4 linked regions of the Diceros bicornis minor genome follow. The protein of the gene in region 2 binds, or shares a complex with, the protein of the main gene of each other region. Links are inferred from orthologs where the notes say so. Each region holds a gene or a part of one and is shown on either strand. Other genes may lie near its edges. The genes, in order: TAF1C, POLR2E, POLR1C and GTF2E2.

Region 1 (7,656 bases), on a different chromosome or scaffold from region 2:
TGTCTGTTCTCACTCAACTTAACTCTCAGTTCCACGGGGGCAGGGGTCACATCTGACTTATTCACGCTGGGTGCCCCCGGCCTAGGAAGGTGCCTGACACAGCACAGGGCTGTGCAATGAGTATTCACTGAACAAACAGAGGAATGAAAGGCCGGGGGAGGGGGAGGTAGGAAAGAGCAAGCCAACAGCTCCCGCTCACTAAACCCTCTGCGGATGGTAGGGCGCCCCACGTACCCCAAAGAAGGGGATTCTGGCTGAGTCTTAGCAGACTTATGCTAAAGCCACCCCACTCTGTGCTCCTGCTAGAAAAGGGGACCAAGTGAAGGTGCCCACCCTGGAGCCGCCAGGGCTCTCCCCACCATCCTCACCTCAGAGTTCTGGGGCAGGGACTCTGGCAGGGTCAGTGCGTCTCTCCAGCTGCACATGAAGGACATGTCAGGGACATTGCTCAGACCAAGGAGGCCGGTCCTAAACAACGTGGGGCGGAGGGAGCCGGGGAAGTCCATCCTAGAAAACAAGAGCCATGCGTCACACTGGTCTTCTCAGAGACCTGCATCTGACAGTGGCTTTGAGGGTTCCTGGGAGAGTGAAAAGTGTCGTAAGAGGGGTATACTTTCTCTTTGGGGAAGCAGATAATAAAGAACAAATGAATATACAACCTAATGCCAGATAGTAATAAGTGCTATATTAAAACCAATCAACCAACCGGGAGGGAGGGAATGGCAATGTGCTGAGGGTGTGGTTTTAGCAATGGTAGCCAGGGAAGGCCTCATCAAGAGGGGCAGGTTTGGCACAGCCTGAACCTAATGAGGGACAGAACCATGAAGACCATGGAAATAGGGTTCCTGGCAGAATGAACAACAAGTGTAAAAGTCCTGGGGCAGGAAGTGCTTGAGAAAGCACCAGGAGGCCACAGAATGAACAGGAGCAGAGGGGTAGGGGATGAAGTTAGACAGGTGGCGAGGGGTCAGCTTCCAATAAGCTCTACATATTATAATTACACATTTGAAGACTACAGGCCCTACGTCCCAGGCTACACTCCCAAGACTAACTCTAGTTCCCCCAAAGCCAGGGACTGAGTCTTATTTGTCTGTCTTCCCACTGTCAAGTACATACCTTCCAAAAATGCACTGACTGTATTGAATAAAACTAAATTTAGCCCAAAGGGCTTTGGTAAATACAAAGTGCTCTAGAAGCATAAGCAGCCATAGCATCCCTCTTTTTTATTAACCACAAAAATGACAGTGGTGCTCACTTACTGAGCACCAGCATCTGCAGCCATGGTACCACATGCTTTATTCTCCTTTGGAGTCCAGGAGACTGAGGCTCAGGAGAGAGCAGCCTGCCCAAGGCCAACGGCTGGATTCTGATTCCAAGTCCGAGGTCTGAACCACCGCTCTCCCGTGCATCCAAAAGCAAACCCGAGCTTTAGAGCCTTAGTAAGCAGAAATGCTTTCCTTTGGCGCTCCTGCGGCATCCTATCAGCTTATTCTGTAACCTCCACACATCCGTGTACCCTCACCATCACGCAAAGTGCCCCCATCACACAGTCAATACTTGTTAAATGATGAATACGTGTTTCTCACGGCATGTCAGCCTCATTCTAATTGTGGTTCACATGCACAGTCTTATCTTCTCCACTACACTGAGAGCTCTCCGCGGGCAGCCACTGTATCTGCTTCATTCCTGAGCTCCTGGTGTCTGGCTGCTGCTGCTATTCCCTTCTCCACGACAGAAGAGGACAGTGCCAGGAACCAAGGTGGTGATCAATGAATCCTTGTGAAAACGCCGGCTTCCACAGGACTGGCTGTACCGACTGCAGTTAAGGGGCACCCCAGCCTCCCAAGGTGGCCGCACCCCTGATAAGTCAGAGATGCACACACGCGCACACGCGCGCGTGCGCGCGCACACACACGTACGTCTCCAGCTCGTCTGTTGTGCCTGGGCTCCAATCACACTGACCTCCTTTGGATTCCTCCTCACCATACTTCTTTTCACCACAGGGCCTTTGCACACTCTCTCTCCACCTACAAGGAATGCGAGCGCCCTTCCTACCACCTCAAAATCCTACTCATCCTTCAGATTTCAAGTCAGGGAAGCCTCTCCCCGTTCCCCCAACCCTATCCTCCCACCACAGCCTGCATGCTTCCTCCAGAGCACGCACTGCAATGTGTCATTACATATTTAAAGATGCAACTGTTTGATTCAAAACCGCTCTAACAGTCCCCACGGGAAAGAGACTTTATATACCCCCAGGACCTTGGTATTCGCTACATGGTAACAATCAGTACATATAAACTGAAAAAGCAAATCCGGGAATGAATGAATGAGAGAAGAAAGGAACCAAACAGCCTCAAACAAACCCAGGCAGGCTGAGGGCGCTGGGCGAGCCCACGACCTCAGAAAGGCCCTTAGACAAGGCAGCCTCCGTTTCCCGCCTTCGCCCTCGGCTCGCCAGGCCCCTTTACACCTCCAAGGCTGCAGAAGTCAGTCGGGTCTGCACTAATGCCAGGCTGGGCATGACAAAAAGCGAGCCTGTCGCAAGGGTTGGGAGAGGGGATCCGGGTGTTCCCTCCCCTCACACAACTACTGGGCCGCGTCCTCCCCATCCACCTCCTCCCACTCCAACCCCAGGCCCCAGAATTTCAACCCGGCAACAGCAGAGGCCTCGCATCAAGCTTTGTGTGCCAGGCAGCGGCTACCACGCTTCACATCTGTAGGCTCCTCATCACTCCATGAGCTGGGGGCTGCTAATAAGCCGCTTTGCAGATGTTGGGCGACTTGTCCCAAAGCCACGCAGCTCGGGGCCCATGGACCTGAGCAGGGGGACCCTCCACTCCCTCCCGTCCGACGGCGCGCGCACTTACGTGGCCCGGGCCTCGCCGTGCTCGTCTGGGAAATGGACCTCCGCGCGCCGCTCGCCGGACCCCCGTGCCGCGAAGAAGCCCGAGAGCGGCCCCCTAGCCCCGGCGCCCTCAGAAGGCGGCCCCCACAGCAGCGATGAACAGTCTTCCCGGCCGGGCCGGAAGTGCTCCCTCGAAGACAGGAAGTCCCGCCTCCCAGCCTGGCCCCATGGTCGCCCTAGAGCGCCACCTCCCGGGCGGAGGGGGAATGGGAATGGAGGCTGCGTCGCGGGCAGTAGAAATCAAGCCTCGTCAAGTCCCAAAAGTGAAGGATAGGTTGACCGGGATTCGAATCCCACCTCTGCTTAACTAAGTTCCTATTTCACAGGATTGCTGTGAGTATTAAATTAATTCACTCAACAAACACTTACTGAGCACGTATGATGAGCCAGGCACTGTATGAGTCAGTAGGAATCCTATTGATTGTCATTATAGCCTATGAAGCGGGCTTTACAAATAGATGTACAGGTACCCCTGGGAGCGCATGAAGTTTTCCCAGTGGCCAGGCGAGTATAGCTTTAGGCATTGGTTCTGAAATTCCAGCGGGCATCAGCATCACCTGGAGGGCGTGTAAAAACACAGAGTTTCTGGAGCCCGCCCTGTGGCTTAGCGGTTGCGTGCGTGCACTCTGCTACTGGTGGCCTGGATTCGGATCCTGGGTGCGCACCTACGCACCATTTGTCCGGCCACGCTGAGGCCACATCCCACATACAGCAACTAGAAGGATGTGCAACTATCACATACAACTATCTGCTGGGGCTTTGGGGGAAAAAAAAGGAGGAGGATTGGCAATAGATGTTAGCTCAGAGCTGGTCTTCCTCAGCAAAAAGAGGAGGCTTGGCATGGATGTTAACTCAGGGCTGATCTTCCTCAAAAAAAAGAAAACACAGAGTTTCCCATTCAGTGAGTCTGGGGTGGGGCCTGATAATTTGCCTTCCTAAGTTCCCAGGTGATGCTGATTCTGCTTGTCTGGAGGGGTCACACTTTAAGAACAACTGTGCAATCATAAATCATACCGTTATCCTAACCCAGCAGTTCTAGACTTCAGCGTGCATCAGAATCCCCTAGAGGGCTTGTTAAAACAGTTCACTGGGCCCCACCTCCAGAGCTGCTGATTCAGTAGATCTGGGATGTGATCCAAGAATCTGCATTTCTAATGAGTCCCCAGGTGATGCTGATGCTGGGGGTCCAGAGACCACACTTTGAGAACCATTACTTTAAAGAATCAATTTCCAAGTTCTCAGCTTCTATGTATATGGTTTTTATCTGGGAGGTGCTCGGAATCAGATGGTTCTCCTTTCGCATCTCCTTTTTCACAATCACTTTTTTCCCCACTATGGAGTATTGCCTGAGAAGGATGCTGAACAAAGGGGCGATTCCAAAAAGCAGAGTTCCTATAGGAGAGAGTCCCTATAAGACCAAGAAAAACAGGCTCAGTAAGGAGTAATGATAGAAGGGTGCGGGGGGCGGGGCTTTTGGGGGCTGACAATATTATGTTTCTTCATCTGAGTGCTGGTTACACGAGTGTGTTCAGTGTGTGAAAATTCATTGAATGATCTGTATGCTTTTTGGTATGGATGTAATATTTCAGTAGTCTTTTTAAAACAGAAAAGAAAAAAAGAGGAAAATACTGCTGGTTGTGACACTTGATCTCATTGAGACTTCAGCCTCTTGGTTAGACTCCATGCCTTTTCAGCTATCTACCTCAGAAATAGAATTCAGAAGTCACTCTATGAAGGCAGGAATTCTTCTCTCTGTGTAGGTCACTAATGTATCCCAAACAACTAGAAAAGTAGATACTCGATAAATATCGAATCAATGGAAGAGGGAACAAAATGACATGGTTCCTCTGAGAAAATATCAACACATTTATTTAAATTGAAAAAATGAAGTCAGACTGTTTCTGATAGGAAAATTCTGGTTTAGCTGATAGGTTTGACTACGATGGTAGGCTTTGCCAATTAGGGCACATGGAGAGCGTTTTTCTTTTCTTGTTTTTTTTTTTTGTAAGAAAGATCAGCCCTGAGTAACATCCATGCCAATCCTCTTCTTCTTCTTTTTTTTTTTTTTTGCTGAGGAAGACTGGCCCTGGGCTAACATCCATGCCCATCCTCCTCCACGTTATATGGGATGCCGCCACAGCATGGCCTGACAAGTGGTGCATCAGTGCGAGCCCGGGATCCGAACCCGGGACTCCAGCAGCGGAGTGCGCGCACGTAACCGCTAGGCCACAGGGCCAGCCCCTGGAGAGCATTTTTCATAAATGGAATAAGCTAAGTCCGCCTCTCCATGGTTTTGGTGAAAATATATTGAAAGTATGATTATACTATATAATAAATCAGAAATTACATCTTTTGTAACTATTTAAGCTTGTGACTAAAAAATTAGTGATATATAATTTTTCAAAATTATTTTAGAAGTATGTATGCAAAAGAAATTGAAGACCATTTATATTAGTTTCCTATTGCTGCTATAACAAATTACCACAAACTTAGTGGCTTAAAAGAACACAATATCATACAGTTCTGGAGGTCAGAAGCCTTAAATGGGTCTCACTGGGCTAAAATCAAGGCGTCACTAGGGCTGTGTTCCGTTCTGGAGGCACTAGGGGAAAATCCATTTCTTTGCCTTTTCCAGCTTCTAAAAGCTGCCTGCCTTCCTCAGCTTGTGGCCCCCTTCCATCTTCAAAGCCAGCAATGGCCAGCTGAGTCTTTCTCATGCTGTCATCTCTCGGATTCTGATCTTCAGTCTCCCTCTAGCCCATTTAAGGACACTTGTGATTACACTGGGCCCACCCAGGTGATCCAGGATAATCTCCCTGTCTTAAACTCAGCTGATTAGAAAACTTAACTCCATCTGCAACCATAATACCCCCTTGCCACATGATGTAACATATTCATAGGCTGTGGGGATCAGGACATGGATATCTTTGGGGGACCATTATTTTTCCCACCACACCACTATTCCCCATCACCCCAGGAGACACCCATCCAGCTTCTGGGCTGGGAGGCCAATTTCATTTCTTCCTTCCTTTCTCTAAACAAGCTGTTTGGTTTCCTTTCGTTACTGATGTATACTTAACATGCAGTAAAATGCAGAAGTCTTAAGTGTACACCTTATCAAGTTTTTACATACATATAAACCCACATAACCACCACCTAGATCAAGGCAGAGAACATTTTCATCACTCCAGAAAATTTCCTGGTGCCGCTTCCCAGTCAATACCCCCTTCAGAAAGCAACCATGATTCTGACTCATCACCAGAGATTAATTTTGCCGGTTCAAGACTTTATATAAATAGAATCAGGCAGAAAATAGTCTTTTTAGTCTGGCTTCTTTCACTCAATATGCCTATGAGATTCACTCATTTTGTGCATGTAACAGTATTTTGTTTCTTTTTATTACTAATAGTCTCCTGTACGAATATATCACCTCTTGTTCATGCAAGTTCCTGTTGGTGAAGTTTCTGGGTTTGTGGACTCTGTTAAAGTCTCTTTATGGATGTGTGCAGCCATCATTCCATTTCTGAACACCAACTGTGTTCCATCTACTAGGCCTAATTTTGCTCTCTGGCTGGGCTACACATGAAAAGAACAGGCTTGTTCTTTCTGATGTCAATTCTGAAACATTCGGGAGATTGAATCTACTCTGTCCCCCACACCTGCTCTTCCCAAATCAAATGTCCCCAGTTCCACCAACCCGTCCTCAAACACTCCAGTATCCACACTGCCACAATCCTGGTCAGCATTGTCAGACCCAAAGGTAGCAATCAGCAGCAGCAGCAGCAACAAAGGTGACGAGTCTTACAGACTGTGAACTGAGTATCGGTCATGTTTTCCCGGGGAACTGGCTCCTACAAGACGCAGTTACATTTTCTGCCCCCTTCCAGCAATTGTGTTGCATCATAGCAGGCCATATGTAAACTGTCTTCATCCGTAACTTCATCTTATTTTTGTTATTTCTCCTTCATCCCTAGTCTCTCATCTTAAAGAATAGCTGTCTTGTGGTAGTTACTCAAAATCCCTCCTGACAGGAAAAAAGGGGGGCAGAGTGCCAAATGGCTAACTTGGCTCGAGAGCACTTCCGGTTGGCTTCAGGAAGGCTACAGTGAACAGTTTTCAAATGTAGAGCCTAGAGATTCTGTGGGGCCGCTACATTTGAGAACACTCTCATTTACCTAATGAGGACCCCCAGGCTCAAGCGGCTAGGGGTGGGCTGGCGTGATGGGGTGCGGTTTGGGGTGGCCTAGAACGGGAGCAAGGGTGAGGTGCTGGACCCGGGCCCGCAAACCTCCTTCCCTGGCCTTCCGTTCGCTAGGGCAGATAAGAGGCTGACAGGAGCGACCTGGTCCTTCGCCCAACCCCCCGACCCGGCAGTGGGCTGTTGGCCAGGCGGCCATACCGTCTACATCCGGGCTGCTGCTGTTCGGCAGACTGTCCTTCCCATTGGCTGGGCGCACTGTCCGCCACAGCTCTGTGGGCTCTCATTGGTCAGCAGTGAAGTGGGGCGGAGCTCGCCGGGTGCTGTCGGCTGCGCCGCGTGCTCCTCACGCGGACCCAGCAGGGCGTATAAAAGAGCAGGGGTGGCGTGAGAACCTGCCTCTTGTCCCTTGGGGGTCCTCGCGTCTTGTCATGGCTTCAGCGGCGAGTGCGGCCCCGGGCTCGGACGACAGCGGCCGCAGGAAGCCCCGCCTGGCAGCGTCTTTACAGATCAGCCCCGGGCCCAGCCCCAGGCGGCCCCCAGCCAGCCTGGG
Region 2 (7,809 bases):
CGTGGACCTCCGGCCTCCAGCCCTGGGAGAGAACACACGTCTGCTAAGTCCCAGCCCGCAGTGTTTCGTTGGCGCGGCCCCAGCTAAGCAACACAGGTGGGAGCCTCAACTCTGCCCCGAGGCACGTCCGAGAGAAGCAGGACGCCCCCAACGTCACCAAAGACCAGGAAGTAGAGAGAGACCCCCAACTCCAGGGCAGCCCGGCCCCCAGGCAGGGTCTGGGGAGGCGGGTGATCAGGCCTCACTGTCCCCAGTAAACACGTCTCCACACGGGGGACACCGTTCTTAGCGCCACCTGGGTCTGTTCTGCAAACATTTTCTGCCCACTCCCTTGACTCCAGCGCCCCCAAGGTGCTCACGCCCCAGCGTGGCCCAACTCTGGCAGGCTTCAGAGCCAGGCTGCCTGAGTGCAGCAGGCGCAGAGACAGGAACGCGGGGGTCCTGGGACACCCCTCGGGGGGCTCTTCACTCAGCCCGGGCTCAGAGAGGGTCCTGGAGGAGACGGCACCTGAGCTGGGTCTCTAGGGACGATGATGGACACCGACCAGGCAGGGCGAAGAGGAACGGTGTGGTGAGGGGGATCGGCAGGGACAAGGGCAGGAAGGAGCCTCAGGGAGCAGCAGGCGGGGCTGACGGGGTGGGGGCAGAGGACACGGGTGGATCTGAGGTCAGGAGGGGCCGGGGGCCCAGCTAAAGGCCTGTGATAATCCTGGGCAGAGAAAACAGCCAAGGAGAAGAGAACAAGGAAGGGGACCAAGGAGACCGAAGCTAGACAAGGCACTGAGAGGGTTCAGAGATCAACGGCACCACCCTCCCAATAAGGAGGGCGAGGGGGATTTTCTTCCCAGAAAGACAAGGCCCAGTGTGGACTCTGGGCCACACAGCAGGCCCTCAGATGGCTCCACCAGAACCATGACCCCTCGCGGACACACGGCTGCCAGGGACCGGCAAAGCCCTCACCTGGGAAGAAGACGAACATCTGGTCGGTGGGGTCGTCATTGTGGGCCACCAGCACGGTGAGGTCCGTGCGCCGCGGCCGCCCTTCACTCGGCTTGTCCCCGAACTGGGCCTTGAACTCCTCCAGCGTCTGGTCCAGCTCGTCCTGGGTCACCAGGTAGCCACGGTCGTGGCACAGCTGCAGACAGAAAGAGTCAAGTGACCCCAGGGCAGAGAAGGCATAACAGAAAGAGGTGGGGCCGGACGAGGCCGCTGCAGAGGGCGCCGTGGGCAGTGTGGGGCCTGGTGCAGTGGGTGTGCGTAGAGGCCAGAAAAGGGAGAAGGGACGAGTGGAGACAAAGACCACGGGGCACTTGAGAGCCCCGAGCTGCTCCAGGTAATCGTGTGCGTCATCGTCTTATCCCCAGCCTCGGGGAGAGGCCCTGAGTGGGAAGCAGCGGCAGAGTTGGGCCCTGGGGTCTGGGGCAGATGGAGACAGCTGGGTGAGAGGGGCGTTGCTGGGCTGGCCAGGCAACTCCAGCTCAGAAACTGGGTGAAGGCCTGAGCGTGTGGGCTCTTTGACTGGGGTCAACTAGAAGAGGACAAAGATGGATAACAGGAAAGTCAGAGCTTCCCACCCCATCTCCTCCGTGAAGTCCCCACAGCCCGATTCTGCCTCCTGAGCCCTCATGTCTGCTCTCTCAGGGTCCCCAACGCTGTCAGCCTGAAGCACAGTTGTTTCAGCCCCTGTCTCTGGGGTCACTTTGCAAAGCAGTAGAGAAGCTGGGCGGTCTTGGTCAAGGCCATGCCCCACCGGGCCTCTGAGGGTCACACTGGTCCCTTCCCACAGGACGGCTTAAAGCAAGTGACAAACAGTGACTGCTCAACCAGCTGGCTAGTGTCACTCCACTCCGACCAGCCCCAGGAAGTCCAAGTTGGTGGCCGAGGCGCAAAAGCAGCCACCAAACCGAGAGATCAGAGACGGACATCCTCGCAGGACGGCACCTCAGGCCAGCTGACCAGAGTATCTTCCCAGCCCACGATTCTGGCATTCTGAGCTAGGCACGCGGGGTGGTGCTCCGCCTTCCAAAAACATCAATAAGCGGGACACCCAGTGTCTGCCGTTCCCCCTCTCCAACTCGAGGGAGATCTCGGCCCGGAGAGACAGCAAAAGTCTCCGCAGACCGCGCCCCCGGGGCCGCTCGGACTCTCGACTCGGCCGCTGGCCCCTGTGGGGTCGTCCCGTCCCCGCAGACCCCGGCCACCGGGCCGCTGGCCGCTATGGGGTCCCCCCATCCCCGCAGACCCCGCCCCCGGGGCCGCTCGGACTCTCGACTCGGCCGCTGGCCCGTGTGGGGTCATCCAGTCCCCGCAGACCCCGGCCACCGGGCCGCTGGCCGCTATGGGGTCCCCCCATCCCCGCAGACCCCGCCCCCGGGGCCGCTCGGACTCTCGACTCGGCCGCTGGCCCGTGTGGGGTCATCCAGTCCCCGCAGACCCCGGCCACCGGGCCGCTGGCCGCTATGGGGTCCCCCCATTCCCGCAGACCCCGCCCCCGGGGCCGTTCGGACTCTCGACTCGGCCGCTGGCCCGTGTGGGGTCATCCAGTCCCCGCAGACCCCGGCCACCGGGCCGCTGGCCGCTATGGGGTCCCCCCATCCCCGCAGACCCCGCCCCCGGGGCCGCTCGGACTCTCGACTCGGCTGCTGGCCCCTGTGGGGTCCCCCGGCCCCCGCAGGCCCCTGCCCCCGGAGTCCCTTCGTCCCCACAGACCCCGCCCGCTGCAGCCTCGGGGGCCCCGCCTGCCGACCCCTCGGCTCCAGCCGCTCGGGCGGGCGTGGGGGAGGCTCGTCCCCGCTCCGGGCCGTGCGCTCGCCGCCCGCCCCCCGGACCGCCGCGCGCCCGGCTCGCCCGGACCAGCGAGGCCCGCCCTCCCCGCGTCCGCCAAGCGGGGCGCCGCACGCGCCGCTCACCTGCATGATGGTCTTGCGGATCTTCCACAGCCGGTACGTCTCCTCCTCGTCGTCCATGGCCGCCGCCGCTCGCACTCACTGCGCGTGCGCTTGACGGGACCCGCGCCCACTGCGCCTGCGCCGAGCCCCGGTCAGGGCCCCCTCATCCGCCCCGTGCAGGGCTGTCGCCAGCGGACGCCTCACTACAGCGACCTTCGGGACCGGCAGCGCCAAGGGCAGCCCGAGCCTTCCGCGAGCGGCCGTTGGCTGCGCGAGAGGCGTGCGCAGGGCTCCTCCCACCAGCACCTCGGAAGTTCTCGCGTAGCTCTGACCGCAAAGCCTCTCGGGAGTTGTAGTTTCCGTTCGACGCCCGCTTGGGGCGGCGGTTTAGAATCTCAACAGGCAGAAACGAGGTGTGCGCGGGGAAACTGAGGCCTGCAGGGGGGCAGGGGTCTGCTTGCCTCCTAGGGACAGTCGGGCGGCCTAGGAAGAGCTCTATAAATATTTATGCATCCAACTGTAGGGCCGTCTCTCAGTTGGCTCTGGCCCACGTGCAACTTAACGCCCCCTAGCCTCAGTTTTCCCGTCTGTACAATGGAAATAATAAAGTGCCCATTGTAGAGGGTTAGCAGAGAATCGGAAGGGATGGTTGTGTTTGGGAGGAGCTTGGCATAGCTCCTGGTGCTTATGAAGTGCTCCCATCTCGGTCTTCCCCTGTCCTGTCCCCAAGCCCCGGGTCTCAGATATCCCACAGTGCCCTACTCCTGACTGTGCCTGTCTCATAATAAATAAGTGACAAAGTATGTTAGAAGGTGACAATGCTGCAGAAGAAGAGAGAGAGCAGGCTACGGGAGCTGGGAGGTTTGCAGTCTGCAGAGGGATGGTCAGGGGAGGGGAGGAGGAGAGTCCAGATCACAGGAGGAGAGGGAGGGAGCCCTGGGGATGTCTGGAGGAAGGTGTGTCAGGTGAGGTTACAGCCGGTGCAAAGGCCCTGAGGCTGGACCTTGCCTGATGAGTTGGCAGCAAAGAGGCCAATGCGGGGCAGGGGTAGGAGAGGAGGTCAGAGGGTGAGGCCAGGCAGGTCCCAGGAGGCCTTGTTGGTCAGGTTCAAAAGTTGGGTTTTCTTTTCAGCCATTCTCAGCGTTTCAGCAGGGCAGAGGCAGGGAGAGCAGGGAGGGGGCTGAGGAGCGAGTCCTGGCCAGGGATGGGGGTGGCTCCCGCTAGGGTGGGGTGAGCAGTGGGCAGGTTCTGGGTGTTCTGACAGCAATGCCTACAGGACGTGCAGATGGGCGGGACGTGGAGATGAGAGAGGGAGGGAGGAGGGAGCTGCCCTGACGGGGTGGGAAGACTCTGGAGGGGCCAGGTGCAGGGGGCAGTGTGGGAGGGGGTCCTGGAGGTGGTGAACTTGGGGCTCTCGTGGGACCCCCATGGGAGAAGGTGGGGAGGGGGTGAGATATGAGTCTGGAATTCAGGGTGAGGTCGGTGGAGATGGGAGCCCGGAGCCTGGAGGAGGTCACCAAGCAGAGCAGATGGCCGAGCCTCACTGAAGTTCAGGGGCCAGGAGGGGCGGAGGGAAGGAAACCGCGGCGGCAGAGGGTATCTCCCTCCCCCACTGCATTGTAGAACCTGGACGAGCAGAGCACCCACTTCCAAGTCGAGCAGGCCTGAGGATGGGGACGCTTGTGCCAAGCGGGAGTGCCAAGTTGGTGACCATGAGGAGGGCAGATCCAAGGAGGGGGCCTGCCCGGGGGGGTTACAGGAGCAAAGGAATTGGAGATGTGGATGTAGATGCCCAGGGGAGCAGAGGGGCGGAAGACGGAGAAGAGGATCAGGACTGGGTTTTAAGACGGAGAAAGGGCACTGAGGTTGCTGGAATGATGGGCAGATCTGGGCAGGGGGAGGGGGCAGACCCGCTGGAGCCTCGACAGGGCCATCGAGGCTGGGCCTTCAAGGAGGGGGCGGCCTGGACGGTGACAGGCGGAGGGCCCAGGTGCGGGCAGCTGTGGGCTGGATGTGTGGACGTTAGGTAGTCTTGCTGTTCCTCAGAGCAGGGAAGACAGAGGAGAAAGGGCTCATGGGGAGCAGCTGGGCCTCGGGACCCCCAGATGCTGGCAGAGCCCAACCACAAGGCCAATGATTCTGAGTCCTGCCAGTGACCCTGTGGCCTCAGCACCAGGACACAGAGTGGCATCCTGCTCCTTCGCACCCCTCACCATGCGGCCCTGGTGGAGCCTGAGGCCCAGAAATCAGGCTACCATCCACACACTCGTGGGTGGGAAGGTAAAATGGCCCAGCTGACTGGCGGAAAGCAGTCTGGCAGCTCCTCAAACAGTTAAACACAGAGTTGCCCTGTGACCCAGCAATTCTGCTCCCAGGTGCATTCCCCGGAGAAATGAAAACATGCCCACACAAAAACTTGTACAGCGTTACAAGCCTAAAGGAGGAAACAACCCAAGTGGCCATCGACAGGTGAATGAAGAAACAAAATACCAAAATATGCTCCACCCACACACTGGAATATGACGCAGCCATGAAGAGGAGTGAGGCCCTGACACAGCCACACCGTGGATGGACCTTGAACACACGACGCTCAGTGAGAGAACCAGACACGGAAGGACACACGGTGTGTGATTCCACTGATGTGAAATGTCCAGAACAGGCGCACCCACAGACAGAGAGTGGGTTCATGGTTGTCAGGGGCCAGGGAGGATGGGGGGGTAACTGTTGATGGGGACAGGGTTTCTTTTGAGGTGATAAGAATATTCTGGAATTAGTGGTGATGGTTGCACAACATAAATATATTAAAAACCACTAAAATGTACACTTCAAAGCGTTTAAAATGATGAATTTTATGTGGATTTTGTCTCCATTAAAAAAAATTTTTTTCTACAGAAGCCAGGCTACAGGACAGGCCCAGACCAGCCCTTCTTGGAGCTGGTGGACACTCTGGAAAGGCCTCTGGCTGGTGGGCACCTCAGCTTCCTCACTGGGGACACACAGGAACTGGCCCCAAAACTCCATTTCCCTATCTTTGCAAGAGGTCGCTGTGGGAAAGGCTGTGAAGCCCCAGGCACACACGCTCAGCAGAGCCGGGGGCGCTTCCCTGACCCGAGACCCGCGGCCCCGCCCCGCGGGCTCCTCCTCTCCTCCTCTGCTCTTATCGTAACTGGCACAGTCAGGAATGGGGTGCCACGCTTGGTCCATCACTCCCCCTCCCCCGCAGCTGTTTTTCTGGCAAGCCTGAAATATATAACCCTGACCGTGGCCATCTTCATAATAAAGGTGTAGGTCACAAGTGGAGCAAACAGCAGACAGCTGAGTCTTCCCAAGGGCCAGATGGACTGGCCAGTGCTGCCAGGGGCAGGAAATGCAGGGGGGGCTCCCTGAGAAGGGAGGCGGCCCAGCTGAGACAATGGGCGGGCTCCCTGCCAAGAGGCGACCCTGAGAACTTGGCCTCTGGTGGCCAGGCTGGAGGGAAGGAGCCACATGAAGACTATTGTGCAAGATGGGGATTGAAGCAACCCAGCCCTGGGGATCCTGGATCCTGTGCCTGCCCTGCCCTCTGGCAGGCCTGGCTCCAGGGCAGAGGGAGGGGGCTCATTGGCTCCCCCAAATGACCCCAGCCCGAGGAGAGTCCTGCCCCCAAGGCCTCTGCAGAAGTGTTCGTGGGAGAACGGGAAACGTGGACAGGCAGCGCAGAAGCAGAAACCGCGGGCCTGTCCACAGGTCAACGTCCAGTCACGGCTCGGAGGGGCGGGGGTGGCCCGGCCTGCTTCGGATCCCATGACTCAGTTCCCAGGAATGAGGTGGCCCTTTTTTTTCTGCCCTGCTCTGAGCCTGGACTGAAAATAAGCAAGTTTCTAGCCGAAACGTGGGGCCCTACGCGGCCCTGTGCGCACCTGTGCTACGTAAGCTTAGACATGGAAAGAAATCCCGTGGGTATGTTTCGTTGTAAGCACACACCTGTGCGTGCCTCGTGCCACCTCCCCGGGGCGGGGCCCCGAGGTGCCCGGTTACACGGTGACGGTTTCAATGACCCCAGGGCGCACCTGTCACCTGGCGCAGCAGCTGAAGCCACGGTGCCCGGGACGGTGCCGCACCGGCCGCTGCGCACCAAGGGTGGACACTGCGGCAGGAGCCTCCGTCCGGGGTCTCGCCGGGGTGACCCCCGGGCCTCGCGGGGCACCCCCGCAGCGACACTGCAGCTCCGAGGGGCGGGCGTCCCCACTCCCAGTGTGATTTTATTTACATTAAAAAGAAAACCCGCAGTTTTCAATGAGCTGGGGCGATTGTTCTGCGAGTTCGAGCCACTTCCACCCCCGGTGTCCAGTGGTATCTCAAGTTGTCGCGCATCCCGCGGCGCCGCGGTCAGCCACCCGGATAACTGGCCGCTACGCACCCACACGCCGCCTGCGTAGACGCGGCCGCCCGCCCTCCTGCCCTGCGGCGAGCATGCGCAGTCTCCCACAGCAACAAAGCCGCAGCCCCGCCCCGGCCCCGCCCCCGACCGCCCCTCACCCCGAGTTCCCATTGGCTGGCGCCACCACGTGCCCGCAGCGCAGGAGCGGCCGACCAATGAGGGCGCTGGTGGGCGTGGCTGAGGGCGGGGAGGCGAGGCGCGCCGGCGCGCGTCCATTGGCCGGCTCGGCGAGGGGAGGAGCCGCTGCGTCCGAGCGCCCCCGCCGCCGCCGCGATGAGCCTGAGCCGCCTGAGCCGCCTGCTGAAGCCGGCGCTGCTGTGCGGGGTCCTGGCGGCGCCCGGCCTGGCCGGCGCCATGGTGAGCTCGGCGCCGCGGCCGGCCCGAGGGCCGTTGGGGCGGGCGCGCGGCCGCGGTGACCGGGGCGGGGGGCGTCCGGCGGGGAAGCCGTGGGGGGCCATCGGGGCGGGGGCGCGCGCGGGCCGGGGGCCCCGCGGGTCCTGG
Region 3 (6,829 bases), on a different chromosome or scaffold from region 2:
CTCCGAAGTGAGCAGTGTGGAGATGACACTCCTCCCTGGAGCAGAACCATCTTTGGGCTCCTCCCTCCCATTGAGAGCCCTTTGTGGGGTTCTGCCCGAGCTCTGGGCTGTTTAACCCAACTCCCTGAGAGGACAGCCCACCTCTGGACACCTCTTGCCCAGCTTACCATGCGCAGGGTGGACAGCCCCCCCACCAGCAGCCAGAAGAGGTAGAAGAGGGCGTGGAGGTGGATGTTATAGGTGATGAACAGGACGATGCAGTGCCCAAAGAGGCCGTAGCCCTAGGAAGGAGGATGGTGGAGAGGAAAATCACTCAGGTTGGGCTGGCCTAGACCCTCATGGGGACCCTGACAAAGAAGTGGTCCACTGGCCAGCTCACCCCACTCCATGCCCTGGGGCCCCAAGACAGATGCAGACCAAGGCCTAGCTACTCTTTTAAGATCACCCTTGCCCACCACCATGCGGGACTCCTTACCAGCAGTGCCAGCATCTGCAGCATGGTGATCTGGGCATTGCACAGGTAGGCGAGGAAGTAAATGAAGGACGAGACACCCAGCCAGTAGCCGAAGCAGGTGCCAATGGCTGTGCCCATCAGGGTGCCCTCCCGCTGTGGGATGAATGCTCTACTTAGTCCTGGGAGGCCTCTGGTCTCAGCCTCCCCCAGGGCCTTCCTCAGAGGCTGCTGCTACCTCACTCCACCATCGTCTCCTTGGGCAGCTTTCAACTCAGTTCAGCCACCCCCCAAAGTCCTCTGTCCTGCTTACGATAATGGTGTCAGATGTCTTCATCCCGTGGAGGAGGATGGCAACCAGCGTGAAGACCAGCATGAGAGGTCCATAGAGCTCACCTGCGATTTTCTGTCAATATACCAACTCACTCAGGCTGGAGAGTACAATGGCCCTTCTGTTGATGCCTTCCCATGCTTTGCCTGGTGGCCCCACCCTCTGCCCTAGTGCCTCCCCGGGCTCTTCCAGACATGCTACCCCCTATTCACCTGGGGGAAGTTGACCATCTTGATAGGGATCATGGACTCCAGGAGCCTGGGAGAGGAGAGGAGAGATGAGAGCAGAGGCAGCACTAGGCTATGAGGTTCTGGAGGGCCTGAATCTTATTCATCTCTCTAACTCCAGAGAACATGCTGGATGGTAAAGGGAGAAGAGAACAGTAAAGATGGACAAGGAATGAGGGAATCACTTCCTTGCCCCTAAAAATGCTTCCAGGAAGGACAACCCTCCGATGCCGTGCTGACTGATGCAACAGCAAAATGGAGAACTCAGCCCAGCTGGGCCTCAGGAGAAGGCATGATCATTTACCTATTTGACCTGCTCCCCTTTAAAAGACAGGCAAACCCCAGGGGAGAATGCCCAGAATTCAGGGCTGTGAAGGTGAAGCCCTGGGAGAGGTTTACAAGGAAAGGTTTTACTTGAGGGAGCCAGTGTGCCTCCTGCCTCTTCCCGCTTACCATTTCTCCAGGCACTGCTGAGCATGTTCTTTAAAATATAGCTAAGTGGTAAAAACGTCCAGGCAAAAGGAAGAAAAAGTACAAGTCACTCCCTCACCCTCTTCTTAAGCGGGTAGCTCCTAATAATACCTTGGATTCTGGCTAGATTTTACTTCCTTTGGCAAACCTGCCTTGTCCCACCCTCCAGCCTACTCTGGGTCCAGGTGATCCTCCCGTGTGCCCCATCATAGCACATGAGTGCTGTATTGTAACTGCACTTGAGGGCAAGGCTCTCATCCATCTTTACCACTGAATCAGACATAACTACTAAAGTGCCGGGCACAGAGCAAGTGCTTCATAAAGCCTTGCGGAGTGGTACTGGGTATTTGATAAGCATTGGTTACATTAATGGGTAAACAAAGAACCAAGCCAAGATTAAATCCAGTTCTTGAAAAGTCATTCAACAACTATGCACTGATGTTCTGGTTCAGAGACTGTTGTGGTGCTGGGAATAAAAAAATAAAACAGAGCCTGCTTTTGAGGTGGAATCTGGGGACACAGACACAGGAATAAGAAAGTACAGCTTGGCTGAAATTTTATCTGCTAGAGGAAAGCAGAAAGATCTATAGGACCACTAGGAGAGGACAAAAAGGATGGGGATGAGGAATGGAGAACAAAGGAAGTGACATCTGAGCTAGGTTTTGAGGGAAGATGAGTAGTTTGCTAGATGGAGAAGAGGAAAAAGGCAATGCGTTATCCCCATGTCCTGTTCTATGACGGGTAAGAGGTATGGTGTGGCTGGGCACAGGTGCAATGATGAGGCCTGCGGGGGTCATGAAGAGGGGAGCTTAAGACTTGGTATCTGGTTGTGGTTTGGATGAAGGACTAGGTGTTAAGAGGGCAGCTTCTGTCAGGAGAAGAATCCTCACCTGCTTCGCACCTGGGCAGGCTCCACATCAAAGTAGGGTCTCAGGATGTCGATGTTGGCGTACAAGCTGAAGGCCCTGGAGGCTTGTCTCTTTCCTGCCTGCCACATCTGAAGTAAGGAAGACGGGGGTGGGGTGGGTGGGTATTGTGAGACTCTTGGCTCTAGGCCTTGTAGCTTATTTTCTGTTGGATTTCTACATGGTTCTAACTGGACAATCTGGGGTGAACTTCAACACCAACTCCAGAACCTGGGGCCTGCTTAGGTATACTTTTCCACCTGCCAGGGATCCACTCTTGCTTACCTGATCAGCCACCTGCCTGCTCAGCTGTCCCTTAAAGCCCTTCATGCCCAGGAACTCCCCATCCTCTTCTTCAGCAGCAGCTGCATCAGCATCTACTTCTTCCTCGCGCAGGCGCTGATGCAGCTCACCCATGTCCTCGAAGCTGGAACCTGAGGTATCATCCATGTTCTCCATGTCAATCACAGCCGAGCCCCCACCCTGTGAAGACAATGGCTCCTAGAGTGCAGGACCTTTCTGCTCCATCCATTAAGTCCTCCTCTGTTCATCCCAGGGTTTGGGGCCTTGTTCTGTCACTGCTGGGGATATGGCTTGGAATCACCACAGATCATGCCACTATCTTCCCCTGTTTTGCTCTCAGAACGCTTGGTTGGTTGGCTCTCTTCTTGCCTGGGAAACCTACTCCCTGTCTTCCATACCTGTCTTTGTCCTATCTTCCCTATCAAAGCCTCAAAGGGCTCCAAAAGTGTCCATTTCCTTTGTCTTTCCCAACCCCTAAACGAGGCTGCGTACACAGTATGGTTTTAGCCAGCGCCAGTGGACCCCGACCGACCTCCTAATTGTTCCGAAAGAGCGGGCGAGCCCAGAGATCTGAGGCCCTCCGGCTGGAGTACCAGTCTGGACCTTTCAGGTCAGCACTAGCCCCACTGCCTTTCGTGTGCACGAAGACCCAAAGGAGAGCAAAAGGGCTGCAAATGGAGCAGACGTCCAGGCTCCGAGGGAGGGTCCCCACGACACTTCAGGACGGCTGCCGGCCCTGGGGCTGCTAGCAGTCGGAGCCTTGGGGCCATTACCTGGATGTTTTCTTCGAACCCTCCCCATTCTGGGCCAGCCCCGTTTCGGGCGCCCCCGGCCGGCGCCGCCGTAGTTGCCATGGCCCTCGAGAGCCCCCGTCGCTGAAGCCCGCGCTGGCACCGAGCGCGGAGTAGTGGGAGAGACGTGGGACTGACGGAGGGAGATGTCCAGGGACGAGAGAGAGAGAGGTGGGACCCACCGGAACGCAAAAGAGACGAACCCGGATGTTTGGCCAAGACTGACTGCCGGAAGTTGGGGACGTGGACGGAGGCGGGGCAGAATCTCGCGATATTTAAGATTCCAGGAGGTGGTGCGTTGCCACGGAGACGGAGGAGGGCGACTAGAACGCACGCGTCAGTTTGCTGCTCTAGTCACGTGCAGAGGTTGAAGATGGCGGCGGCGCAGGCGGTGGAAGAAATGCGGAGCCGCGTGGTTCTAGGGGAGTTCGGGGTTCGCAATGTAAGCCTTGTGCCCTTGACCTCGGGAGGAGAAATGAGAGCGAGACAGGGATGAGTTTGGATCGATGTGGGGACAGACTTGGGCTCGCTGCCCCTTCGCAGCAGACTCGTCTCTTTGCCCTAGGTTCATACCACCGACTTTCCCGGTAACTATTCCGGCTATGATGATGCCTGGGACCAGGACCGCTTCGAGAAGGTGGGTGGGGCCGGAGAGGGTATGAGGAACGGACCGTGTGATGTGAGCAGCCCCTCCCTTACAAGGTGCCCTTGGGGGTTCGCTCCGTTCATGAAACGTTTATTGAGCAGTGTGCTAGGCACTCCGTGTGCACGGTTTCTGCCCTCTTTTGCGAACAAGAAGTTCAGTCTTGTTGGAAAAGAGCGCGCGTAAACAAATGATTCCAGTATGATGTGGTAAAAGCGGTGAATAGCAGTAAGGAAGACTGCGGGTGGGGTGAGGGGTATCCCACAGAGGCACTTAATCTAGAATGGGAAAGGGGGCAGAGGTATGAATGATTTCCTTCCTGAAGGAGATGACATCTGAATTGAGCTTTAAACGGTGAGTGGAAGCTGACGACAGCGAAGGGTGAGGAAGGACTAAGAACAGAAGCTGAATTATAAAGGCCTTTGTGAGCTGTGCTCCGGGTATGTCCAAGCAGTTAATTATTGCTAGAATGTAAAGCGGGCCGGCGTGCATAGGAATAAGGAGCTTTTGAAGAGCTCTTAAGTAGAGCTGATAAGATTTGCAACTTTAATGGTTGGGAGAGAATGAATCTGAGGATCATCATATGGGGCAGGCAGATTTGTGATAGAATTGTATAGGGAGCTGAGGTTGAAGGCATGAACTAAGATTATCATCACGGAAATAGAGCAAAGGAGAGAGAGAAGGTGAGTTTGGTGATTGCTTTGATATGGGCCGTGAGGGGGAGCGTGAGATGATCTAGCTCGGGGAACTGCTTTGATGGATGGTGGTGTCCTTTACTGATGAGAAATGGGTCTGGGGGAGGGGAATGATGATGCGTTCCGTTTCCTGCATGTGGAGAAGTCTAGAAGGCTAGTAGAATATATGTTTGAAATAAGATCAGAAGTGAGATATAATGTGAGGAGTTGTTAGTACAGATAGTTGCTAAAACCATGAGTGTGGTCAGGTCACTCTGGAGAGAGACAAAAACCTGGGAAATAGTAACATTTATGGGGTGGGTGGAAGATAGTGAATTTAGGATTCATCAGAAAAAGAAGGAAGAGAACCAGAAGACTGGTGCTCAGAAATCAAGGCAGTAGTTTGAAAAGAGGGAGATTCTAGCAACAATGCCAAATGCAGCAGAGGAGTCTAGTAAGATAAGGGTTAAGTAGTGTCACATGGAAGCCTGTTCTTTAGTAGAATAGCCTCCGTGGATGGACTGGCTGGAAGCCATATGGCAGAGGGTTTTAAATGAATGAAAGGTAAAAACAGGAAGACTTTTCAAGAAACTAATAAAGGATTGGAGGAGAAAGGAACATCTAATGAGGGACATCTGGGCCAAGGGAGGTTTTTGGATGAGAGAGAATGTTAAAACGTTGAGAGGAAGATCCAGAGGGTAGGTACCTTGTTCTATAGAGAACAGACTTCATTTAGTGCTTTTCCTGTCCTTTTAGAATTTCCGTGTGGATGTGGTACACATGGATGAAAACTCATTGGAGTTTGACATGGTGGGAATCGACGCAGCCATAGCCAATGCTTTTCGACGCATTCTGTTAGCCGAGGTATTGGTGGGCATGGTGGCAAGGGTGGACTTGTGAGGGGAAACGGTGCCATGGCCTCGCTTGGAGAATTATCTCAAGCCACCCCTCCTCTTTATTTTTCCTGTAATATTGCTGAGCATTTCTCCTCATTCTTTGAAAACTTTTTATCAAGCATTCTTCTAGGAAGAGGTCTCTCCCATCTCCCTATGTCAGGAGGCAGGGAGTAGATGGGGAGTCTATAAGATCTTTGTAGATGATTCTTATTTCTTGGGCAGGTGCCAACCATGGCTGTGGAAAAGGTCCTGGTGTACAACAACACGTCCATTGTCCAGGATGAGATCCTCGCTCATCGCTTGGGGCTCATTCCCATTCATGCTGATCCCCGTCTTTTTGAATATCGGAACCAAGGTGAGTGTTTGAGAAAGTGAAATTTTGGGAAAAGGCAAGCAGTTTGCCTGTGAAGTAGATTCTGGAATCAGACTGCCTGTGTTCAAATCCTGGATTGACTACTGCATGACCTTGGGCAAGTTACTCATTTTTTGGTACATCAGTTGTTACCTGTGAGAACACTTGCCCTTGCCTTCCTCAGTTTGTCAAGAGGATTAAATGAGAAATGTAAACAACGCACTCAGTATGGTGTCTAGCACTCAAACGTTGACTAGTTCTTTAAGAGCTGCCACCTCCCCCCTTTCTGCAGGAGATGAAGAAGGCACAGAGATAGATACTCTGCAGTTTCGGCTGCAAGTCAGGTGTACTCGGAACCCCCATGCTGCTAAAGATTCCTCTGACCCCAATGAACTCTATGTAAACCACAAAGGTGAGGAGTGGTAGGGTGAGGGAGAAGGCCCACCTGTTGGTGGGTGCTAGTTTTAGGGACTGAGGTCTTCTGATGTGCTTCTCCCCGCAGTGTACACCAGGCACATGACATGGGTGCCCCTGGGAAACCAGGCTGACCTCTTCCCGGAGGGCACTATCCGACCAGTGCATGATGATATCCTCATTGCTCAGCTGCGGCCTGGCCAGGAGATTGACTTGCTCATGCACTGTGTCAAAGGCATTGGTAAGAACTGTATGGGCTGCCCTGGGCAGGAGGGCAGTTCAGTTACAGTGGGGCCACGTGTGACTGAGGTACTCTGCTGAGGTGTCCCTGACAGGCAGAAAGCCAGTGGGCCTTTGCTGTTAGTGGCTTA
Region 4 (7,844 bases), on a different chromosome or scaffold from region 2:
TATACAGCACTTGTATTTATTCACTTACTCATTCACTCAAAAAATCTTTAATTAGAGCCTATTATGTGCCAAGCACTTTACTAGGCACTAGTAAAGAGAAACAGAATTATTCTCTAAAGCTCGAGAACTGCACTGCCCAACATGGCAGTCAATGGCCACATGTGCCTATTAAGCACCTGAAATGGGGCTGGATTTGAGATGTACTCTAAGTGTAAAATACATCAGATTTAAAAGACTTAGTACAAAAAAAAGAACTTTTAAAATTACTAATGAGATATTTTAGACTGATTACATGCTGACATGATAATATTCTGAATATACCGGGTTAAATAAAACATTAATTTCCCCTAATTTTCTTATACTTTTAAAAGATATACGGCTACTAGAAAATTTTAAATTACGTGTGTGGCTCACACTTGCAGCTCGCGTTATGTTTCTATTGGACAACGCTGCTCTAGAAATAACATCAGGACTACCAGGCAGAAATTAGGAGGCAGATTTATACTCATTGCAAAAAAAAAAAAAAAAAAGAGAGTACCATCATAATTGCTTATAAATGACAAGGTGTATTTTAAAACTAGTGAACTCTCTATTGTTAAGTGATGAAGAGGCTGGACTAATATTTGTTAGAAATATCTACAGAAAATTCCCGATTTGGAGAGAGGTGGAGCTAGACCTCTTCGAGTTTTTTTCCCAGTTCTAAAACTCCAATTCTAAGCAACTTCAGCACAACCAGGGAAGCCACAGGTAATTTAACAAAAATTTTTTAATGTTCCTCTCTTGTCTGAACTCTCTCTAGAACCCTGTGGAGAGTCCAGGAAGTGTACAAGCTGACTATTTAAATTACATTTGCACTGTTAAAACTAGTGTTCATAAATTGGGAAGGAAGGTCCTAGAGGAAAAAGACTAATACTTTGAAAGCCTTCCAGCACAGGGTAGTTCAATATTTGTTAAATGAACAATGAACACAAAAACATCTTTAAATTGCTCTGGCCTCATTGTTATTGGTTTCACAAGCCTTTACAAAATGTCTTCTGTTTGTGAGGCACTGTACTCCAAGCTTTGAAAGGTTCTGGAAAATAAACCCTTGTCTTCAAGCAGCTTACATTTGAGAACACGAACACATTGAGCACCTCGCTTAAAAAGCATGGATAAATAAAATGTGACTTAGAGTGCCAAAAGTTAAAAACATAAGCACTGGTAAGAAATAATCAGAGTAAACTTCAGTTAAGTAAGGAAGAGTCACTGGCACTGGACCTCGAATGAAAGACCTGCCTTCTCCCCTCAGTTCTAACCCCAACAGCAACTGACCAAAGGCAATCCACTAGACCTCTCTAAATCCAATTTTTTTTATAAGTAAAGTGAGGATACTACCAATGCTGTCTACATTTAGCCCAACTGTAAGACTAAAACGAGAAAATGTTTGTGAAAGCAACTTTTTAAATAGTAAAGCTATACAAATACATGTTATTTCAATATTACTATTTTGAATTGCATCTGAAAAATAACAGAATGATATTATACTGGGGTGCCGACAGTAAGAGATGGGGGAGGGAAAGTGTGAGAATAAGAGAATTCACAAGTGATGAGGTGGGGGCAACAAGCCTAAAACAGGAAACATCTGTATCTGTTTATTTCACCTTGTAAAGACAGGTAATCGATCCAGGCTTTTAATCACGATTTTAACACATTTAAATAAGAGGCTTATGGTTCACAAAGATCTAAATCCTTACAGCATTTGATCCTCACAACTCTACGAGATAATAGGTACTAGTTTTATTCCTATTTTAATATGTGAAATCTGAAGTGAAGAGGTAAAGTTAAGGTCACAGAGCTGGAAGTACCTGGACCAAGACCCGAATATCCTGACTCGTAACTCAAGTGCTCCATACTCCAGACCTGAAATGCTGGTAAAGGGAAAGGCCTCTCCAACAAAGGCGACCTGTGCAGGACAGGTACCGTTGAATGGCACCCATCGCAGAAGGCTTCATGTCTGTCTGTCACCACCGCATGCTCCGCCTAACTTTTCCTCCTTTTTTCTCAGAAGACTACTCAGTATTCGTAGTGCTTTACATGCACTGACTTGTGTAGTAAACAGGCCACACCACTCTGCCAATTTACATTAAAAAAATACCACCGCCACAACTCAATGAGTGCACGTGTTCCTCCACGGATGCACATGGAGAAGCCAAAACTTACATCAGAATCTTCTGGCTCCGAAGCCCACGTTCTTTCCACTACATCATTCGAGTTCTTTCAACCTTCCTACTTTTCCTCTCTTTTGCTTCTTTCCCAGAGGGGCCCGTGGCACCTAAGACCCCTGCTATGAGCAGCTGGCCAGATGAGAAAAGAGACTGCTCACCTCCGAAATGACAGAAATGTAGCGGTAGACGCAACCTTTTTGTTTTAGAACACGTCTTTAGACCGCAGAAAACAACTATTATAACCAAAGTTTAGGAATCATTACAAGGCAGCTTTAAAAATATAGTCCGTGAAGGAGCATCTAAATCACAGCCTTGAGTTGGTGGGACACCGTGGTTCCCCACACTCCACACACAGGGTTCGCTCGGCTCCTGCTAATGTAAACTGAGGGCCAGGAAGAGGCACAGTCAGCTATCGGACTGTCGATTTCCCTCTTTCCAACCCAAAAGTTTGCTCCATGAATCTCCAGCCTAAAAGACAATGCTCCCAAGAAGTTGTTGCCGTGTGTAGGTGTTTCGCGTAGGGCACGGCGGCCCCAGCCTCCCGAGGGGTGGGAGAGACGCTCGCCCCGCGGGGGTCGGCGTCCCGAGGAACAACAGGCCGGGGCTCCGCGCCCCTCACCCGGCCGCCACAGCCCCTACCTGAGCCAGAAGGGCCGCCCCACGCGCCCCGCCGCCGCCTCCCCGCGCCTCCGCCCGGACCAGCCGCCCACGCCGGCTTGGCCACCGCTTCCTGCTCCTCGTCAGCGCCCCCGCCTGCCCGCACGCACGCCCAGCGCTGCCCCGCCAGCTCGGGGTCTCGGCACTGGCAGCGGCGGCGGCGGTGGCTGAGGCGGCGACTCGGCCCGGGGCTCCGCCCGCCACTTCCTGAGCAAGCTGCTAGGAGCTCAGTCCCGGCAGCCACCGCGACGCCTCCGCCGCCGAGAGCGCGCGTGCGTCATCACGTGCCCCGCTAGGGATACCGCGGGAGAGGGCTCAGCCAGCTGGGGCGTCCCGGGTCTCCTTGACAACGCGAAGGTGGCTGGGGGCGGGGCGGAGAGCCGGGCAGAGGTAGGAGGCGAGGAGCGGCCGCTAAGATGGAAGAAATCTTTCTTTTACAGAAATTTAGACCTACTAGATCCTCCTCCAGCGTGCTCTGGAATCTGTTTACCCAAGTAGCGACGCGATTTTTCAAGTTATTGTCTACCAGGTGTTTTGTGACATCAAATGCCACTCACCAGCACCTAAATTTCAAAGCACGTTGTTCCAGCGCTCTTTTACAAGTGAGAAAGCAGGAGGCCCCGTGAAGCTAAATGACTTGCTCGTGACAGCGTAGCTAGCGAAGACAAATCCTGACGTGAAGCCGTTTCTGAACTCCCAACCACACATCTGTGAACTCTCTTAGAAAAAGCATTTCGGGTTCAGAAGCAACGTAAAGGGGTAGAAATAAAGTGACGAAAAAGATAATTGGCCTTGCCACAGCCTGCAGTGAATTGGAGTGCGTCAGATTTCCCACGGCTGACCTTTCCTCACTTTTATAACTTAAAACAGCAGCATAGCCAATGCTCAACTATTCTGTAGCTGTCGTTTAATTAATTAGTGCTGATTACTCCTCAAGTTACTTAACCTGTGTCTTGGTTTTCTCATCTGGGAAGTTGGAATAATTGTACTATCACAGTGGGTTACTTGAATTGGACTGTTGTGAAGATTAAATGAGATAATAGATGAATTTTTATTCAAAACTTGGAAATAAAGCCAAAAGATGATTGATTGTGTGGCTTTTTAAAGTTAGTTTCATTCTAGGATTTTGTAATAAACCCACTTGATAATCATCTGACACCGTTAGGAAATTTAACTTCTTTTGAATAACAGTTTATTAAGGCCCAAATGTTTTACAGCCCACTATAATCAGAGATTAACTGGTAAAAAAAAAAAACTGATGAGGTGTAATGAGGAGAAGGAGCAGGAGCAGGTATCCAGTACAAAAAATAATCCCAAAGGTTAAAATTGCGTTGTCCTGAGAAATGAGTCAGTGTTGTATCAATTCATTAATTTTTATTTCATAGTTCCTTTCCTCAATGATTATATAAACTCCAGTTTCTCATATCCTCATGGAATTAGTTCTATCATTCTGCTGGCTCCCTTATTAATGAGTGAGAGACTTAATATACAAATAGACAATGGCTAGATTATATGTGATGATAAAACTCTGACCCACATAAGAAACCAAGACACAACCTCTGCAGCAATCAGCTCAGAATGGTCAGGATTTGCTCAAAGGCTGCCAACTTCCCTATTTTAGCCCCCACCCCCCAACACATACACCCCCCCCACAAGATCACCAGAGAAAAACAAATACACTCCCCAAACCAATCACACAGATGCCCCACTTCTAGTTACTCCACCTCCAGCTTCCTCTGCCAACAACCTTTAATCAGAACGTACCAGAAGCATCCTTTTTTTTTAGTCTATAAAACTTCCCAGTTCCCTGATTGAGTTTGAGTTTCTGCCAAACACAAGTAATGGTGGCTGACTCCCTTGCTATAGCAAGCTCTGTAGTCTCTATTCTCATTTGAGTGGTCTTCATTTATTTCCATTTGTGTTAAATAAAACTTTAACACATGCTCATTTCCTAGTCACTTGAGAATTATGAGTTTCACAATTAGAGAATCAGGCTTTTGCAGAACTAGATCTACCACATGGAAAGCACTTAATGAACTGTTAAAAAAACAGAGGTACATTAAAATTTTGAATATCTTATTTGAGAAAACATCAGTTCAAATTGGGGAAGCCCAAAACCAAAAATGTTTAGGAGCTCTCCACTGACAGGAGCTAGGGGAGAGGTTTTTATAGAGAAGACTCCGAAGCAAATCAAAGAAAGTCTTTGATTGGCTGTAGCTTAAGTCATGGCCTTATTTGGGAAAGCCTAGTTGGCTGTTTGTAATTAGTTGTTCTTAAGTTTCGTTTCCTTCGCTTCTGGTCTATTGACTCTGGCATAGGTTTCAGTTTGTTTATGTAGGCTACCAAGGCACTAGAGCCATCTCAGTCTAATGGATTCATTGTTTACTTTTAAAGAATGCTCATAATTATTCTTTTATTTCAATGGCTTGTCTCATTTCAGCCAGTTGGGACAGATATTGAACACAGCTAAGCCTTCTAATGCCAATATTAGAATATGTTATTCATAATCCAAACCCCCATCTCAGTTGCCCATCCTTTACCCAAATCTTAGCTGTTATTACTATCATTGCCAAACTTGAAACCCTCCCATACACGTGCTAGCAAACCATTAAAGTATATAGACGTTGAATGTTGTCAACCACTGAAATCACTCCTGTTCACAGTGCCTATGGCCTGTGACTAAGTCCTAACACTAAAAGCAATGACTGCATTCATTCAAAACACTTTTGGGTGATAGCCTGTACTCTGAAGGTACTCCTCAACTGAAGACAAAAGTGGGCTCCGTATATCGCCATAATCAGGCCATTTTTGTGTCAGAGGTACTTACACATGGACACCACACTAATGAACTAAAAAAGGATTCTCTTTGTCTGCTGACAATGTTGACTACGACAATGACCAACTTGACCATTTCCAAATGTCAGCCCAAATTAGCTTGATTTCAGAGAATTCAAGATTGGGGTTAAACATATGGATTTTTATTCTGCCTTCTCATCCTTGTTACACAATAAAGACATCATCTGGGGGTCGGCCCGTGGCGCAAGCGGTTAAGTGTGCGCGCTCCACTGGGATGGCCTGGGGTTCACCGGTTCGGATCCCAGGTGCGCACAGACGCACCGCTTGACAAGCCATGCTGTGGCGGCGTCCCATGTAAAGTGGAGGAAGATGGGCACGGATGTTAGCCCAGGGCCAGTCTTCCTCAGCAAAAAGAGGAGAATTGGCAGATGTTAGCTCAGGGCCAATCTTCCTCACAAAAAAAAAAAAAGACATCATCTGGATTGCGTCTGAGGCAGCCTCTAGCTAGGGCTTAGGGAAAGCATAGGAAAAATATCCCACTCGGAGGTGAGGGACATGGCTATTTGTGTAATATACACAAAGTCTCCACCATTGATGCTTAAATAAACCTTTATAATAATTAAAACCACCTACATATTTGCAGCCTCAGTATTTCTAGGTCAGAAGGGTGTGGCTAGCATGAAATTATATAAAGAATGATTCAAGCTACTAATGCAATAGCAATCTGTCTTGTCGCATGAATGCTTATAATATCCTGCATACTCTTTGGTAGAAAGTAATGTGGCTTCTTCAGGGAAATATAATTTGTATATATTATAAAATATTCTTCTGTCCTGACCTATCCAAACCCTCCCACCTCAAAAAAAACAACTCAATGTAACCACAGGATTAATTCCAATTTAGTGGATTAATTTTTTTTACTGTTTTAATTGTGGTAAAATATATATAACATAAAATTTGCCATTTCAACCATTTTAAAGTGTACTACTCAGTGGCATTAATTACATTCACAATGTTGTACAATCATCACTATCTATTTCCAAAATTTTCATCACCCAAAACAGAAACTCTGCACCAATTAAGCAACAACTCTGCATTCCCACCTCCTCCCCCCAGCCCCTGGTAACTTCTAATCTTCTTTCTATCTCTAGGAATTTGCCTTAATTCTAGATATTTTATATAAGTAGAATAATACAATATTTGTCTTTTTGTGTCAGGCTTATTTCACTTGACATGATGTTTTCAAAGTTCATCCATGTTGAAGCATGTATCAGAACTTCCTTCTTTTTTACGTAGTGGCTTAATTTTACATTTTAATTTTTTACATTATGTAGTAGTTTTAAAGAGGAAAATTGAGGTAAGATAAAAAAATTTACTTCATTCTGCCATCAAATAGTAAGTGCCTTTCAACTCGCCTTACCTGTTAATCCATCTCAACTAACTAAATAGGTACCTAAATCTCAAAATAGCTGACGAGGCAAATTAGCTCACATCCGCACAAATCAAGAACTAAAGTAAGTACTTTGTTCATCATCTGTCCTGGATTTCTCTAGCATTAACAGTCTCTGCTCCCTTAGAGACTTTTCCCCTGCCTTCTGACTCAGCCTGCCTAATCCTGAAAATATCTTCCCAGGACCCTGCTTCCTTCTCAAGCATTCATCCCGTAAGGGAGGAAAAAAATATTTTTTGCCTCTACTCGTTTTAGGTTCTCAGGCTGGGGCCCTATAATTAAACTAGCAAAAGACAGATTATCAAGAGAAAAACAAGCAGAAGTTTATTAACATATGCATCACACACACACACACACACACACACACACACCGGAGTATCTAGTGATGAGTAACTCAAAGGGCTGATGAGAACTTGGGCTTATATAACATATTGACAAAAGAACGATAAATTTATAGAGAAGTGACAAGACTTTGAGTGAAAAGGACTTTGAGTTTCTAGGATGGTAAATTGTGCAAAGGCAACTATATGAAGAAACTAATGGAAGATAAGGGCTGGGTAGTAAAGTTTGTCATGTAGATTCCTCTGGTACCATCTTCGGGCTGATAAGGGTCTCAAGTTGTCTCCAGTGATTAACTTTTATCCTTCCTGGTAAAGAGAAGAGGGCAGACACCTTTACAAATTTATGTCCTACTTTCAGGCAAACGGGGAGGATGGAAAGCTTTTCTTGTATCTGCT

Evidence for each region.
Region 1: POLR2E (region 2) and TAF1C share a complex: the UniProt entries of both Homo sapiens proteins name them as parts of the pol I pre-initiation complex. The link is inferred for Diceros bicornis minor from reciprocal best matches to the Homo sapiens genes POLR2E and TAF1C.
Region 3: POLR2E (region 2) and POLR1C share a complex: the UniProt entries of both Homo sapiens proteins name them as parts of the pol I pre-initiation complex. The link is inferred for Diceros bicornis minor from reciprocal best matches to the Homo sapiens genes POLR2E and POLR1C.
Region 4: POLR2E (region 2) and GTF2E2 share a complex: the UniProt entries of both Homo sapiens proteins name them as parts of the TBP-based Pol II pre-initiation complex. The link is inferred for Diceros bicornis minor from reciprocal best matches to the Homo sapiens genes POLR2E and GTF2E2.

Annotation. Positions count from the first base shown.
Region 1 is NC_080771.1:33,271,679-33,279,334, forward strand, and holds the start of TAF1C (TATA box-binding protein-associated factor RNA polymerase I subunit C), read right to left. Parts: upstream 3,016-7,656; 5' UTR 2,868-3,015; intron 508-2,867; 5' UTR 507-507; coding exon 369-506; intron 1-368. Other genes in the region: ADAD2 (adenosine deaminase domain-containing protein 2), read left to right, coding at 7,535-7,656. UniProt on the Homo sapiens protein: Component of the transcription factor SL1/TIF-IB complex, which is involved in the assembly of the PIC (pre-initiation complex) during RNA polymerase I-dependent transcription.
Region 2 is NW_026691553.1:615,375-623,183, forward strand, and holds the start of POLR2E (DNA-directed RNA polymerases I, II, and III subunit RPABC1), read right to left. Parts: upstream 3,018-7,809; 5' UTR 2,967-3,017; coding exon 2,910-2,966; intron 1,136-2,909; coding exon 961-1,135; intron 1-960. UniProt on the Homo sapiens protein: DNA-dependent RNA polymerase catalyzes the transcription of DNA into RNA using the four ribonucleoside triphosphates as substrates.
Region 3 is NC_080753.1:22,256,449-22,263,277, reverse strand, and holds the start of POLR1C (DNA-directed RNA polymerases I and III subunit RPAC1), read left to right. Parts: upstream 1-3,829; 5' UTR 3,830-3,852; coding exon 3,853-3,921; intron 3,922-4,044; coding exon 4,045-4,116; intron 4,117-4,403; exon of another isoform or gene 4,404-4,805; intron 4,806-5,552; coding exon 5,553-5,660; intron 5,661-5,914; coding exon 5,915-6,047; intron 6,048-6,336; coding exon 6,337-6,456; intron 6,457-6,546; coding exon 6,547-6,699; intron 6,700-6,829. Other genes in the region: protein YIPF3, read right to left, coding at 168-281, 476-607, 765-857, 995-1,040, 2,371-2,477, 2,671-2,868, 3,462-3,542. UniProt on the Homo sapiens protein: DNA-dependent RNA polymerase catalyzes the transcription of DNA into RNA using the four ribonucleoside triphosphates as substrates.
Region 4 is NC_080768.1:28,325,895-28,333,738, forward strand, and holds the start of GTF2E2 (transcription initiation factor IIE subunit beta), read right to left. Parts: upstream 3,016-7,844; 5' UTR 2,844-3,015; intron 1-2,843. UniProt on the Homo sapiens protein: Recruits TFIIH to the initiation complex and stimulates the RNA polymerase II C-terminal domain kinase and DNA-dependent ATPase activities of TFIIH. Both TFIIH and TFIIE are required for promoter clearance by RNA polymerase.